Linked DNA regions of Oryctolagus cuniculus. The main gene of each other region encodes a partner of the protein of the gene in region 2 in a complex. Links are inferred from orthologs where the notes say so. Each region holds a gene or a part of one and is shown on either strand. Other genes may lie near its edges.

Region 1 (3,393 bases), on a different chromosome or scaffold from region 2:
GAGGCCTGTCCTGGCCTGTGTCTAGGAGTCCCTGCGGGGCTGGGACAGGACTGCCAGAGAGGGGAGCCACTGCACCCTCCACGTCACACCCTGACCCGGGTCTCCTCCGCGTTACCCCGTCCCCAGCCAGCTCCCTCTGTCCCCAGCACTGTGGGTTCCCTTCCAGAGCCCCAGGTGGCCATGTCTGAGCAGGTCCTGCAAGGTAAGACCTCCCCAGCCTTGCGGTGGCTCCTGGTCGACCCTGGTGAGGGAAGCAGAGGTGCTTGGTGGGAACGTGTAGGTCCGTCTGGCCCCCGGACCCTCCTCCGGCAACATGGGGCTGGCTGGGTGGCAGTAGCGCAGGCAGGTTTTCCCTGGCTGGTCCCCGATGATGACTAGAGTAGTTCTCGTGCACCACCAGAGGGCGCCAGAGAGCGCAGAGTGCGGGCTCCGTGGTTCTGTCTGGGTGTCTCCCCTCCCGCTCAAGCGGGAGGAAAGGTGAGGCCTGGTGCTGGCTGTCTCCCACCTCGGAGCTTGCTGGGGCCTGCCAGCCAAGGCCGGGCCACGTTAAAGGAATGGAGGTCAGGATTCCAGTGTTCTTTATTGATAAGTGTGCATGAACCCCTTGCCCTGAGAACTCAGCCAGTCCTGCCCTCCGCTCCCCAGCCTGAGGTCGGGTGTGCACTCCGGCCTCCGAGGTCGCCAGCCTGCGTCCGGCTCTGCCTGGTTGAGGAAGGCATTGGAAGGGCCCTGGCCAGGTCCTCGTCCTGCGGACAGCACTTCCTGCAGGAGCTCGCCCTGGGGGTGGGGTGGGGGCTGGATGGAGGACCGGAGCCCTCCAAGCGCTCCTCCACAGTGGAGCTGAGCTACGCAGCAGCAGGTGCAGGTGGCGATGGCTCTGTCCTGAGGCTCTCGGGCGGCTGGCGGGAGTGCCAGCGGCAGCAGGGCTCAGCTGATGCCTCAGAGGGGGTAGAAGTGCCAGAGGCTGTGTAGACGGGGGATTTGCCAGAGAGAGAGAGAGACAGTCAGTGAGGCCCCTCGGTCTGATGCGGGCAGACCCTCAGTACTGCAGACAGAACCGGGGGGCCTGGGGTCACCCCTTCCCCCAGTAGCTCAGAGAGAGAATTATTAAAACATAACCCCCAAACCTGCATCCACGCCCCCTCGGTCAGGGCAGCCTCCCCATCGGGTGGTACCCAAAAGCCCCGAGCCTGTCTCTGACCTGTACTGGAAGCGGGGGTCTCCTGGGTGGGCCTTCAGCAGCTGGAGCACCTCTGGTGGCGGCTCCAAGCCCATCTGCTCTGCCCGGTGCCAGCGCTGCAGACGGGTGATCCCTGAGGGGCAGGCAGGAGACCCGGGCCTCATGGGGCGCAGGAAGAGTCCGGCACACCCAGATAATGCGCGCCGAGGCGCCGCGTCCTGAGACCCCAGGGCCGGGCGCAGGCGCCCGAGAGGCAGGCGAGGCAGGCGGGGAGACAGGGCGGCGCTCACCTGTGCAGGGCCCGTACTGCCAGGCCAGGTCAAACTGCCGCAGCAGCTCCAGCACGGCTTCCTCCCCGCCGGGGGGCCGGGGCTCCTCCCCTGCAATGACACTGCTCCTCAGGCGGGTGCCCGCAGCCCTCCTCAGCGGCTCTCTGCCTCTGCCACCCGGCGGCCAGCCCTGTCAGCCGGAAGGAGAGGACGTGCTACGCTTCCCCTTCCATCTGCCCCCGCCCACGTCCTCTCCGGCCCCTGCTGTCCACTCCTCCGACCTCCCCCGCGCTTCAGAGACCTAGCTCTCGTGCCAGCTCCCCCTTGCAGTGCCCGGCAGGCCCCTCCCCCCGCTTCACAACAGGGTAGGAGTCAGTGATGAGCTGCTTCCGGCCCATGGTGGCCACCCAGGCAGGCGGAGAAGGTGACCGCGGGGACGAAGAGACAGGCCAGCGGGCGCGAGAGAGACAGCTGCTAGGGGAGAGCGCGAGAGAGTCGTGGCCAGAGAGCGAGATGGGGCCAGCGACGGGCAGACGAGATGACCCAGACAAGCCCGAGAGGAAGTCGCCTGGTTCCAGGGGATGACGCCTGCCCCCCGCCCCCACAAACACGCAAATAGCAAAGACCGAAGCCAATGGCAGGCCGCCGCTGTGGGGCGGGGCCCGGGCCCCAGCCAATGGCGCGCGGCGCAGGGCGAGGGGCGGGGCAGCTGCTGCAGCTGTGCTCTGGGGGAGGAGGGGTTCGGGAGGGGTGGGGACCTGTCAAGATGCCCCAGACTTCACCACCTCCTCCCGCCCCCCATTGGTCTCCGTGGGTCCCCGGGGACGCACGGAGCGTTATCCTGGGCCTCTCACTTCCCGTTTTGCCTTCCTAGGCAAATGTTCTTTTCAGCCTCACTAATCCCCGTGTCGGGTTTGTAACTCCCCAGAGCCCATCTGGAACCTTCCTCTCCGGGGCCTTGGACCCGAGCGTTGTGGGGGCAGGTCTGGAGGTCCGAAGAGAGTTTGGGCTAATCCAGCCCCCTGCCCTGCTCCCACCCGCCCCAGGAGCGCTGGTGGGGGCCTTGGGCTCTGACAGCTCCTTTCTCACAGCCTGTGCCCAGACACTGCCCACACTGCTGGTGGAGGCCGCGCGTGGCCCTGTCGGCTCTCCTGGGGTCCGAAGCCTGCCTCTGCTCACCCTAGTGGTCAGGAAGGTCCCCTGGGTAGCCTGAGGCCAGAGCTGGGGTCTCTCACGGGGCCTCTGGGTCCCCAGTTCTTCCCAGCCAGACCTGCACCGTCTTGCAGCATCGTGCCTGGGAGCAGAAAACGCTCACAGCGCAGCGTGCGCTGTGTTGCAGGGACCGCTCTAACCATCCCCACAGCAACTCCGTTTAAGCAGATGGCAAGGGTTTTTGAAAGTAGGCAGTATGGATAAATTATTATCCCTGCCGATAGACTGGCATTGCGGGGACCCCTGTTGGACCACAGCCCCTCCCTGCGCCCCAGGTCCCCAGGGCAGAGGGGGTGCCGTTGGAAGACGGAGGACAGGCGTGGGGTGGGTCCACAGTGCAGTTGGTGTCAGGAGGCCTCCTGGAGGAGGTAGGCTCTGGTACACAGTGGCTCTCAATCCCCCACCCGTGACCTTTGTCCCCTGGGCTCCTGTCACTGCTGACTCACCCCTACTCCCGCCTCCCCCTCACCAATTTCCTGGCAGCAGGCAAAGTGCTGGCCAGTGGGAGGCTGGGAACCAGCACAGAGACAGCCCGGCCCTGATCACCCTCGAGCCGGGGCGCCCATCCGGTCCTTCCCTCCAGGGCTGTGAGGGTTGGCGCCTGCTGGGGGCCTCTGCTGGCCTCTTTCCCAGTGCGCGGGCCCGGTGCTCCGGGTCAGGAAGCGGGCTGGGCCCCGGTACACACAGAGACCCAGGAGGAGAGTGCTTCCCAGAGGGGAAGCAGAGGACTAG
Region 2 (4,042 bases):
TGAGAAGTGCAAGGCTGAGCAGAAAACACGGGGAGGCCCCAGAGAGTCACGGTGACGGTGATAGAAGGACAGGAAACCGAGGTGAGGAGACAAGACTCCGGGGAGGGCATGGGCCAGGGCAGGCTGACCCTGGAGAGGGCGCAGGCCAGGGCAGACCAACCCCAGGGCAGGCCAGGGGCAGACAGACGCCAGAGAGGGCGCAGGCCAGGGGCAGACAGACCCCCGGGAGGGCACAGGCCAGGGGCAGACAGACCCCAAGGAGGGTACAGGCCAGGGGCAGACAGACCCCCGGGAGGGCACAGGCCAAAGGGAGACCAACCCTGGAGAGGGTGCAGGCCAGGGGCAGACTGACCCCAGGGAGGGCAAAGGCCAGGGAGGGCACGGGCCAGGGGCAGAGTGACCCCGGGGAGGGCACAGGCCAGGGCAGACTGACCCCTGAGAGGGTGCAGGCCAGGGGCAGACAGACCCCAAGGAAGGCACAGGCCAGGGCAGACTGACCCCTGAAAGAGGGCGCGGGCCAGGGCAGACTGACCCCAGGGAGGGCACAGGCCAGGGCAGACCGACCCCAGAGAGGGGGCGGACCAGGGCAGACTGACCCCAGGGAGGGCACAGGCCAGGGCAGACCGACCCCAGAGAGGGGGCGGACCAGGGCAGACTGACCCCAGGGAGGGCACAGGCCAGGGCAGACCGACCCCAGAGAGGGGGCGGGCCAGGGCAGACTGACCCCAGGGAGGGCACAGGCCAGGGCAGACCGACCCCAGAGAGGGCGCGGGCCAGGGCAGACTGACCCCAGGGAGGGCACAGGCCAGGGCAGACCGACCCCAGAGAGGGGGCGGACCAGGGCAGACTGACCCCAGGGAGGGCACAGGCCAGGGCAGACCGACCCCAGAGAGGGCGTGGGTCAGGGCAGACTGACCCCAGGGAGGGCACAGGCCAGGGCAGACCGACTCCAGGGAGGGCACAGGCCAGGGCAGACCAACCCCGGAGAGGGCACAGGCCAGGGCAGACCGACCACAGAGAGGGCACAGGCCAGGCCAGGGCAGACGGACCCCAGAGAGGGCGCGGGCCAGGGGCAGACTGACCCCGGGGTGGGCCAGGGGGAGATACTGTGTTGGGGGAGACTGACCCCAGGGAGGGCGCGGGCCAGGGGCAGACTGACCCTGGGGCAGGCTGGCCCAAGACCCACCCGGCCTGGGTAAGACACGGTCTCATGATGACCGTCTCGGAGATGCATCAGGAACAGCGGCCGTGTGCCAGTCCCACAGCTGGGGTAACGGGGCACCACCAGAGTCGGGAGTGAGAGGCCGGGTCCTGTCTCACCCCCAGGGCATCGAGGGGTAGGAGAGCCCACCGGGGAAGAGACGGGGACGAGAAAACAGCTTGCACAGCCCGGGTCTTTATTTGGAAAGACAGAATGCTGAGGGTCAGGGGAGTCACGGCCGCTGGGCGGCAGGAAGCAGAAACGGAGGGGCCCCGCCGCCGGTGGCTCCGGTGCCAGGCCAGCCGCGCTCGGGCATGGGCGAACGGTGGAGTGCCCTGCACCTAAACCATTCCCCCCACCGCAACAACGGCTCTCAGTGCTCCACCCTGACCTGGGAGCAGCCTCTGGCCTCCACCTCACACCACAGGTCTTACACCAGTCCTGGTTACGTGAGGACGCCGCGAGGGACGGGCTAGCGTTCCCAGGTAACTCACAAATGGGACCGATCGGGGAAACCTGGAGCCGCGCGCGCCCACACTCACCCCAGCGCTGCCGGGCCCGGCTCACCAGGAAGGGTCTCATCTGGCTGAGGCGCGTGGCGTAAATGTGCGCGTACTGCCGGTTGAAGTTGCGCTCGCCCAGGCGGAAAGGCTGCGACGCGTTGGTGTAGGTGGCCACGGGCACCCGGGCGAAGGTGGCGTTGTTGGCGGACGGAGGGGACAGCAGCGTGTGGGCACGCTGGGCGGCCTGCTCGGAAAACATGGCTGCGTCCCGGCCGAGGAGGGGTCCTGTGGGCACACAAAGGCATCCCTGCCACCCTCGCCCGGTGCCAAACGCGGCTGCCCGCACCGCCTCCGGGGGCCAGACCGGACAGTCCCGGCAGGGAGCAAGGGAGCCTCTCCCACCGGAGTGCGGCTGAACCCCGGACCCGAGTGACCCCTGCCGGCTTCACACCCCCAGGCCGCCTGCCAGGCTCGCGAACGGAATCCCTGACCCGCGCCTCCCCAGCCCCCTGCACCTGCCCCAGCCCAGGGCGCGAGCCCACCCCAGAAGCACGCGCTATTGCTAAATAACCACCATCGCCACGGTGACACACACCGGCCACGGGCCGCGCCGAGCGCCCAGGCCTCACCACGGCCCGTGCCACGCGCTCCCCGCCTCCGGATCCTCTCGCTGCACCTGCGCCCGCGCCCGCGCGCGCTCGCCCCGGTCCGCGCTCGCGGGCACCTCCCGCTGCCCACCCCGAACCACACCTCGGCCCTCTGGCTCGGCACGCACCTCCCAGCAACCCGCACGGACACCTGGCGCCCGCGGAGCGCCACAGGCCGACTCCCCGGAGCGAGCAGCGCCTCTGGACACCGGCTACTCACCGCCTGGGCGCGGCTCCGCGACGGGTCAGGGCCCCGCGGCCCGCTGGACAGCGCGGGGCCGGGACGCGGGCTTTCCAGGAGCGACCCCCGAGCACCCGCGGCCGGCCCCCGAGAGCAGCGCTGCGCGGCAGCGGCGGGACGTCCCCGACTCTCGAGCTCGCACCCGCGGCCCGCCAAGACACCGCTTCACCGGAAAACCCTCACCAAGCGGCGCGCCGCATCCCGCCGACCCCCGCGCGCCCGCCCCGCCCATCGCCGTAGCCAGCCAATCGCCGCCAGCCCCGCCCCATTCATTGCCTCACTCCGCCAATCGCCATCCAGCGCTCCCCGTCCGCGGCCGCATCTCACCAATCGGTCTCCGCCCGGGTCGGCCCCACAGCGCCCGCTGCATCCCGCCGGCCCCCGCGCTTCTCACTCACCGCGCCGCGCGGAGCCACGCCCCCGGTTTCCCAGGCGACGGGAGGCGGGGCCGGGACGGACAGGCCCATGCTCGTCCGTGCGCATGCGCGTGCCCGGAACCCAGGAGGCTGGGTCCGCGCGGGTGGCCTGCACCGTGCAGGGTGGGCACTGCCCGGGTTCCCCGCAGGCTGGTCCTGCTGGCCAAGCGCTTGATTTCCGGCTGTCTCTGCAGAACGGTGACCTGAGCCCAAGTGAGGGTAACGTGGACCTGGAAGAGGGCGGTTGCTCTGTAGGGCGGGCAGCGAGTTGGGCGAGAGGCGTGGCGGGTCCTTGCCTTCCCGCTCCTCCCGCCAGGCCCGGCCCCAGACACGGTGGACTCTTGTCGTGTCCTTGTGGTGGCTGACTTAGGTGCCAGCCTGGCTCGCTTAAGGAGTGCGCAGAGGCCTTGCGTTGCGGGGGTCTGTGAGGGTGTTTGCAGAGGGGCTGTCTTGCGATGCCCAGTGGACGGCCAGGCGGGGCAGGCCGAGAGGAAATAAACACGAGACGGGTTGATCTCTCTCCTTCTACCCCAGCAGGCCCGAGACACGCGCTGGGCGTCGGAACTGCAGCCGCGCTGACCCTGGGCTCCAGCACGGTCCGCGCTCCCCTGGCCGTCAGCCGTGGGCTAAGAGTGACGCCGTTACCTTCCGGGCTCGGAGGCCTTCAGACTGGGAGCCACGCTGCCGGCGCCCCACGTTGCAGTGGACCTGTGCCACGTGAGCCACGCCGCCCGCCGCTGACCGCTCTCCTGTCAGATACCTTATACATTTCCCGCGGGGTCTTGCTCGCTCGCGCTCTCTCTCTCTCTCTCTCTCCCCGGAACTGCAGCACCGACTTGGGTCTCAGGAGTGGTTCCGAATTCTAAGATGGGTTTCCTTCATTGGCTTTGGGGCTTCTGGAATTGGCTGTGTAATATGGTTAGACCTAAAGACGCAAAGGATTCTCCTTCCGACGGTGCGGACAGCACCTGCAATCCGTGGCGGGAGCTATTCTTAGAGATGTGCAGGATAAACGCGGTGGACTCTCCCGAGTC
Region 3 (3,562 bases), on a different chromosome or scaffold from region 2:
TAATCTTATTTTGAAAATTTAAGGGCAATAAAAACATTTACATGCTCAAACACTTTTTAAAAATTAAATTGTTTTCAAAATGTATACAAACTTAATATTTATTAAAAATTATTTTAAAGTGATCATTGTAATACCTTTAAAGTATTAAGGAGGCTGGTGTTGTAGTGCAGTGTGTTAAATAGTCTCATCTTCAACACCAGCATCCCACGTCAGAGTGCTGGTTCAAGTCCTGATTACTCTGCTTACAATCCAGCTTTATGTTAATACACCTGGAAAGGCAGAAGATACTGCCCAAGTACTTGGGCCCCTGCCACCCACGTGGGTAACCAGGATGGAGTTCCTGGATTCTGGCTTTGGCCTGGTCCAGACCTCACTATTGGTACCATTTGGGGAATGAATGGGCAGATAGAAGATCTCTCCCCCAACTCCCACCCCCGTTGCTATGTCTTTAAAAAAAGATTTTTTGAAAAAAGTTTTATGGCATCCTCTTAACTTTGCCTCATGTCAAAGTGAGCCTTTATAACTCTAATTCTTAAGCAGTAGATTCAAGTTCAATATTTATCAAAGTTAGTTAATCTCCCTAGATGCAATAGTCTGGGTAGCTTGTGAATTTTTTAAATTAAAAAATTAGATTCATGCTTATTTATTTGAGGGGCACAGAGACAACAGAGAGACCTTCCATCTGCTGGTTTATTCCCCAAATGCCCACAATGGCCCCTGGCTGGGTCTGAAGCTAGAAGCAGGAACCCAATCACAAGCCATCATTGCTGTCTTCTGGGTTTTGAATTAGCAGGAAGCTGGAGTCAGGAGTGAGCCAGGTGTCCAACCCTGGCACTCCAACATGGGCACAGGCATCTTAGCCAGCAGGACAAAAGCCATGCTGTGTTTTCTTAGTAAGTCTATAATTACGAATAGTTTTCACAATAGTATACTTACAAATACAGCATTAACAGACAAAAAACCTGCAACGAAGTAGCAAATTTGTAATATACAACTCTTCAGAATAACTCAAAGGGGGAAAAAAAATTTCATTACCTGGGCTTTTCTGGCACATCAGAAGGATTACTGCAGAATGGTTCCTGGTAAACAGTTTCTGAAAGGTCATGATCCAACAATGTTGCCACAATTTCTTCCCTACTTGGTGGGGACATAAGTGGTTTCAGAATGTGAGCAGTTCGAGGAGTGAAACTGCCATTTTTAGATTGTAAGGGAGAGCTGGTAGACCTTGGTGAACTATCAGGAGTTGGTGTCAACATATTGTTTCTTGAAACATACAATTCTAAATCTTCAGAAGCTGCATCTACAAGTTCACCATCGGGAGAGGAGAGTATTGTAGTAAAAGAGGTATTAACTGAGTCAATTGACTGTCCCATTTCTTTTCTGGTGTGACCTTGAATCCAGTCTGAATTGCTTGGCTGTGGGAGGTTAAGAAACACTTCTTTGCTTACCGAACTCCTATTCAATCTGGATTTTTCATTTAGACAGTCCTCTGCTTGCTGGACACAGAAAGAATCTATTATGGAATTGGACCGAGCTGTTAGGGGATGAAAGTTATTTTTCCACTGGCTGTGGCGAAGATTCTCATTGCTATCTATGGATGACTTTTCGAAAAGCTCAGGACTTAAAGTACCAGATCTAATCCATGAGGCTGAATCTGAAGAATGATGCTTGTTTTCATCACACTTTTGGTTATCATGACTTAAAAACTCATTTTTTTCTATAGTTTGTCCTGGAAAAAGATCCTGAACAGCATCACTTAAAAACTTCTGAGGCAAATTCTGATCAGCTGGAACAAACTGACTTCCAGAATAAAAGCTACAAAACCCTGCCTGACCAATTGTATTAATATCAAAATTATAACTATGTTCAGGAGACAAGCTATCTTCAAGTGAATAACAACTCTCAAAACCCGGATCTGAAAAAAAGACAGGACTATCATCTGAGAGGGAATTATCCAACTGGCTAGAGTTTTGTAAATTTAAAGAGTCTACTTTTAGAAGTTTGGAATTCTTCTCTTTAGGTTTTGTACTTCTGGGAGTTCGAGGTTTTCTTGGAGATGTTACTGATCGTGTCTGCTTATTTGCTTTATTGTGTTCAAAGGAACTAGAAATATTTTTGTTTGGTTGATGTTTGTTAGACAATGGATCTTGCATAATATTTGCATTTTGTGCTTTCTGCTGCCTTTTTTGTAACAGTTCTTTTAGAACTGCTAGTCCAGACTGTCCTTCGCCAAATGCTGAAGGTGTTGACACATTTTGATTTTTACACTGAGAAAGTGCTTTGGTTTGTGAAATTGCTTCTGAAAATGACCTTTGTTTTACTATTTCAGGCTTAAAATTTGTCATATCTAAAATAAAACCCCTTTGTTTCTGCTCCCATGCTATTTGTCTGATGGGACTTCTCAAGGAAGTTACAAAGCAATTATTAGGCATTTGGCTTTCCTCTGAAGTTGCATTTCCTACAGTACACGATTCACTGTGCTTGGATTGTTCTGCCATGCATACGATCTGCGGCTGACTGTCTTTGCAATGTGAAAAATTAGAAGAACATCCCTGATCCAGCTTTGATTCTAGGGAACTGCGATTTTCATTTAACTTTCCAACAGATGACAAATAGTTTTTTTGTATACTTGCATTCTCTTCTGTCTTTGGAGACATTATACCTGAAGATATCTGTGTATTCTGTGCTACCTGAGATAAATGTTTGGAAAGGTCGAATATATTTTTTTGAATCAACGTTGATTCTTTCAGAGAAAACATAGCACTCTGATTATGAGACCTTTGAGCATTAATTTTTGAGATTCCAGATCCTACAGAACTACATACAACTGATGAATGCAGATCATCTCGAGAACTGGGGAATGTTTGCATATCCACAGATTTTTTGCTTTCTAAAAAAGAAGAAAAGCAGCCAGATAACTTCTGTTGTGCATTAATTCCAGTTGGTAGAGGAACAGAAAGAGGATGCTCTATAACAGAGCCTGTGAGTGACACATCTTTCTGTTTAAAAAGTAGTTGAGAGCCTCCAGGACTGTTCGTGAGCTCAGCCACATTCTGGTGTTTCAGCACAAACTTAACTTCAGCACCAGACTGAGATTTTATTTTTTCATCCTTAAGTGTTATATGCTTTTTTGATGTACCTTTTTCATTTGTCTTTTGTTTCTGTCTTGCTCTTGGTTTCTTTTTTCCATTATCTACCAGTTTGTTTGTCTGATTTCGTTTGTTCCTTTTCTTAGTAACTATAGAGGGATTAACAAGCTTTGCCTTTGATTTCTTAGCTTGCGCTCTTGCCCGACTATTTTTTCCTATACGAGAATTAACAGTCTTACTATTGTATGCATTAGGACCCTTAAAAAGTGTTGCTTCTTTTTCTGCAGCAGCCATGATTTCTTCAGCTCTTGGGTCAGTGGGAGACCAGCAGCGAGGTGGAGAAGAATTTATGGGACTTGTGCTTCTCTCAGAAAGAAAACCTAGTTTAGACATAACATCACTATAATTCAAGTCACAGTCTTCGGTTTCAGCATGGTAAGATGGTGAGGGAGGAGAAAGAATAGCATGCGACC
Region 4 (4,032 bases), on a different chromosome or scaffold from region 2:
GGTACAGGTTCTTGTGGTGAGAATGACTTCACATAACTGAAGGAAAGCAAAGCAAATATGGCTAGAGTATCACAATTGAGACAGAGAGTGGTATAGGTAAAGTTGGGTACACAGGTAGGAATTAGTGTGCTAATGCTATAAAAATTACAAGTAATTGGGGTACCTCCACTAAAATTGCATACATCTTTATTTCATTTTCAGAGAATCCAGTCATTATTCATCCTTAAACCCCAACAGGTTAACAGGTGCTTCATCTCTTATTTAAATACCCATAATGGTAACAGACAATAACTCTTATAGGTATCCACTGACAAAGTTAACTGAAGCTCTTGGGTTTGGGCCAGAACTAGTCTTACGCAATTTTAGTCAAAATCAATCCAAATCCATCCCTATATAAGAGTTTCTGGGTTTTGAAAGCTTTAACATCACACCCCAAATTAGACTCCTAGATGTGCTTAACCCAATAAAACCAAATCAACCCATTCTAGAAGTCAGGGATTTTCTGAGACTTGTGGGAAGTTCTCATGACTCTAGGTTTCTATGACTCCAGAAGAAACTTCAGACCACCCTTAGGAATCAAACAAACAAAATGAGAATTTAACCCAATATATGTATCCTCAGCCAGTTCACTAATTCCTCCCCTGGGTCACAGACATCATCCACATCTTGGAAGTGAATTCAAAAGCTCACCTTTTCTTTTGGGCTCGGGTTAGATCCCAAATTTAGGCAAGGAAAGGTGACATGGCACTAAATTGAAGAAAGGCAAGGCCATACACCATCCTAAACACTCCCTTTCCAGTTTCACTTAAATCGCTCACCCTGTCACACAGCTTGCGTCGAACACCTGTTGACCTCATTATGAAGTACTCCAGTAACATCTGGAGATGGGTCTAAGGCCCACATATGAGAATGTGGTGAAGACGTAAGATAACAGACATATAAATTTTAGATGCAAAAAGAACTAATTCATTTAAGAAATTTGAAATAACAAACATGTTCACAGCAGGCCAAGGATGCAAATGAATCCAGCAAATTGATCACACCACACCTTTGTTATCAAGTCTACCAGTCTCCTAAAAGAGACAAAAATATGAGGTAGTAAAATAAGTGTTTTTTTCCATTTACTCAGGAAAAAAAAAGAAAATTAGTTCTATCCTAGGAGCTATCTAAAGAGCAAAACAAGAAACAAACAAAACAAAACCCTCCTCTATGTGATTAAAATTGGTAGTAAATTGGACTTACTGTTTGGCCTGGTTAACATGAACCCCTAGTGTATAGCTCAGCCATTTGTACGTCACCTGCAAGAAGAAGCAATTTTCAAGAATGTTTTATGAAATGCCCCCAGAGCCTAGATCAGTAATCTTAAGTGAGTGTGATTGTGCCTTATCAATTGCAATCAATACCACCACAGTTTTGTCAAGAACTACCTGGGCTGGCAGAATAAAGATATCTACTTTACAAACACTAACAAAAAGTTTGTGTTTTTTTCCCCCCAGACTGCTTCATACAAAGACAGTCCGAATACACGTAAAGAAAGAGCTCTCCTTTTCCTCTTGCTCCTTGTTTCACTTAGGCCTTTCTTTAGATTCTGCCTTTGTGGGGGAACCACCGGCCTAAACTACCTGAAAACTCACCTAGGAGCTAAATGATTTCCCAAGCGTATGATGCAGAAATCGCTCAGGAAAGCTGCAGCCACAGGGACGAGCACTAGGGGCACAGGCGGTGCAGGGGTCGGGATGAAGACCGCAGCGGGTCAGATGGGAACCACTGACACCAAGCGTGCAGCCCTCCTCCACCCCGTCCGCCTGTCACTCTCTCGCTAAAGCTCGCTACAGGCCGAGCTGCCATAATCAAAAGACCTGGGCAGGTCAGGCACAGGCCGGGGCGAGCTCGAAGGACTCGTGGAAGAGCCAGGCCTAGGTTCGAAGACGGCGCCGCCCTCTCTAAGAGCGACCGAACTCGTTCTTTGGCCTCGGGGTTCCCCGAAGGAATACGACTCCCTGCCTGGGGCGGGGGTGGGGGTGGGGAGGGCCGAGGCAAAGATGACGGGCAACAGCGCGTAGCCACAGAGCCCCGGCACCCAGCGGGCGCTCACTACCACGCCTCGCAAGGCGCATTCGCCTCCCTCCCCTCCGATCAGGACACCAACCCCGCCAGGCGGGTCACGCCCCCGTCAATACTCCAATTTCCAGGAAGAGGAAACCCGAGGTCAGACCGTCCCTCAACACGGCTGAGGCACACTTTCCTCAGAGGCAAACCTGGGGCTTGAAACGCCACCCGCCGGGTCAAGCCGGCGTAGGGACGCCTTAGACAGACCCTCAACCCCCGCGGCCTCTCCCCGGGGCAGCCCCCAACACGCCTACCCGAGGAACGCCCGCTGCCGCGCGCGCCATTAGACCTCCCCGGCGAGTCCTCGCTCGCCCCGGGAGCACGCGGTGACGGGGACCTGTCCCCCCTCTCGGCCAGTCCCCCACGAGACCACAAGCACGAGGGTCCAGGCCCCCACCGCCCTGGCTCGGCCCAGGACCCCAGTCGCACGCCTGCTCCCCCAGGCCCTCGCTCCTCACAATCTTGTTCTGGTCCGTGACGAACTCGTCTATATTTTCCAGATACAGCTGGTCCGCCATGGTGCCACAGCAATCGGCCCCGCCGGCTCGGGGTACCCCCTCTCAGTCACAGCGGCAGCTCCCGCCGGCGGGAAACGTCTTTACTCCCTCCCAGGTCCCGGGTCGTTTCCCACGGCAACCGAAGCGACGCGCTACGGCGGCCGCCCAGGGGTCAAACTAGTCACGGAGACGGCGCAGGGTGAAGTGGGTGGAGCCAGTAAGAGCCATTGGTTGGGGCGGGTTTGTGTGTGGTGTGTGTGGAGAGGAGGTGTCGGGTTTCACCCCGCCGCTGAGTGACCGCACCTGTAGGAGCCACAGCCTTTTCATCTGTGAATTGATAAAAGAATCCTTGCCTCGCGATATTTTATTCAGTAAATATTTGGAACCTATTCAGGCAGGCCACAGTTTTGGACGATAAAGATAAAAGTTGAGTAGGGCCGGCTGGAATACAATACTTGCCTGTTATAATGCACAGTTAAAGAATTAGAAGTTCTTCAAAGCAGGTAAAGGAGGCGGGGCGTTTCTGAGAGAGGCGGGAGCGGCTGCCGGGAAGAGAAAGCTCCAGATAGCGGGAATAGCGGGAATGTGGGGGAGAAGGAGCCAGGGAGAGAGGAGATCTGACGAGGCCACAGCACTCCATGCCTTAGGAGGCTGTGTGTAGGGTTGCATGCACGTCCTTCTCAGTTAAAGAGGACAAGGAGAATTTTCAGGTTGGGGAATTGCGTGAGAATTTCTCATAGTATCACCAAAAATTTAGGATAAGCCAAGGTCCCCAGCATAGTGAATAAGCAATCAAGCTCTAGAGGACTCCAGATTTGAATCTGGATTTCTTTTTAAATTTTTATTTTTTATTTGAAAGGCAGAATCGGGGCGGGGATTGGGGGAGGTTTTCCATCCACTGGTTCACTCCCAAGTGGTTGCAACAGCCAGGGCTGGGCGAGGCCGAAGCCAGAAGCTAGGAGCCATAAACTTCTTCCAGGTCCCTCACATGGGTCACTTCACTTGGGCCATCTTCATCATCTTCCACCGCTGTACCCAGCCACCTTAGCAGGGAGATGGATCCATAGTGGAGCAGTCAGGACTTGAAGCCATGCCCATGTGGGATTCGGGCACTGCAAGCGGCAGCTTTACTGACTATGCCACAGCCCTGGCCCCTTGAGTCTGATTTTTTATGTACTGAGTTTTATAAGTTGTTTAACCACTCAGAATCTGGTTCCTTATCTGTAAGATGGCAAAAGCCTACCAAGGGCCAGGAACGGTTCAGGGTAGTGAGGGTACAGCTGCAGTCATTAAGACATGGAGGCCGTTCTCATTACATCACACTCTCCTGGAGATATTTAAGTCCCAGTCTCCCATGGTCTCCCAGCTGCCTTCCCTTAGCTTAAAGTTTCCTTGCCCAGCTTTTATGATCGCAAATCAACCTCTT

What was found.
Region 1: POLD2 (region 2) and POLD4 share a complex: the UniProt entries of both Homo sapiens proteins name them as parts of the tetrameric DNA polymerase delta complex. The link is inferred for Oryctolagus cuniculus from reciprocal best matches to the Homo sapiens genes POLD2 and POLD4.
Region 3: POLD2 (region 2) and REV3L share a complex: the UniProt entries of both Homo sapiens proteins name them as parts of the tetrameric Pol-zeta complex. The link is inferred for Oryctolagus cuniculus from reciprocal best matches to the Homo sapiens genes POLD2 and REV3L.
Region 4: POLD2 (region 2) and POLD3 share a complex: the UniProt entries of both Homo sapiens proteins name them as parts of the both the DNA polymerase delta and DNA polymerase zeta complex. The link is inferred for Oryctolagus cuniculus from reciprocal best matches to the Homo sapiens genes POLD2 and POLD3.

Annotation. Positions count from the first base shown.
Region 1 is NC_091432.1:4,680,020-4,683,412, reverse strand, and holds POLD4 (DNA polymerase delta subunit 4), read right to left. Parts: upstream 2,065-3,393; 5' UTR 1,848-2,064; coding exon 1,751-1,847; intron 1,561-1,750; coding exon 1,471-1,560; intron 1,314-1,470; coding exon 1,202-1,313; intron 965-1,201; coding exon 940-964; 3' UTR 562-939; downstream 1-561. UniProt on the Homo sapiens protein: As a component of the tetrameric DNA polymerase delta complex (Pol-delta4), plays a role in high fidelity genome replication and repair.
Region 2 is NC_091447.1:51,601,066-51,605,107, forward strand, and holds the start of POLD2 (DNA polymerase delta subunit 2), read right to left. Parts: upstream 2,806-4,042; 5' UTR 2,480-2,805; intron 2,176-2,479; exon of another isoform or gene 2,107-2,175; intron 1,990-2,106; 5' UTR 1,964-1,989; coding exon 1,744-1,963; intron 1-1,743. Other genes in the region: Friend virus susceptibility protein 1, read left to right, coding at 3,876-4,042. UniProt on the Homo sapiens protein: Accessory component of both the DNA polymerase delta complex and the DNA polymerase zeta complex.
Region 3 is NC_091436.1:60,221,773-60,225,334, reverse strand, and holds part of REV3L (DNA polymerase zeta catalytic subunit), read right to left. Parts: coding exon 1,036-3,562; intron 1-1,035. UniProt on the Homo sapiens protein: Catalytic subunit of the DNA polymerase zeta complex, an error-prone polymerase specialized in translesion DNA synthesis (TLS). Lacks an intrinsic 3'-5' exonuclease activity and thus has no proofreading function.
Region 4 is NC_091432.1:65,786,918-65,790,949, reverse strand, and holds the start of POLD3 (DNA polymerase delta subunit 3), read right to left. Parts: upstream 2,801-4,032; 5' UTR 2,628-2,800; coding exon 2,568-2,627; intron 2,158-2,567; exon of another isoform or gene 1,635-2,157; intron 1,299-1,634; coding exon 1,243-1,298; intron 1-1,242. UniProt on the Homo sapiens protein: Accessory component of both the DNA polymerase delta complex and the DNA polymerase zeta complex.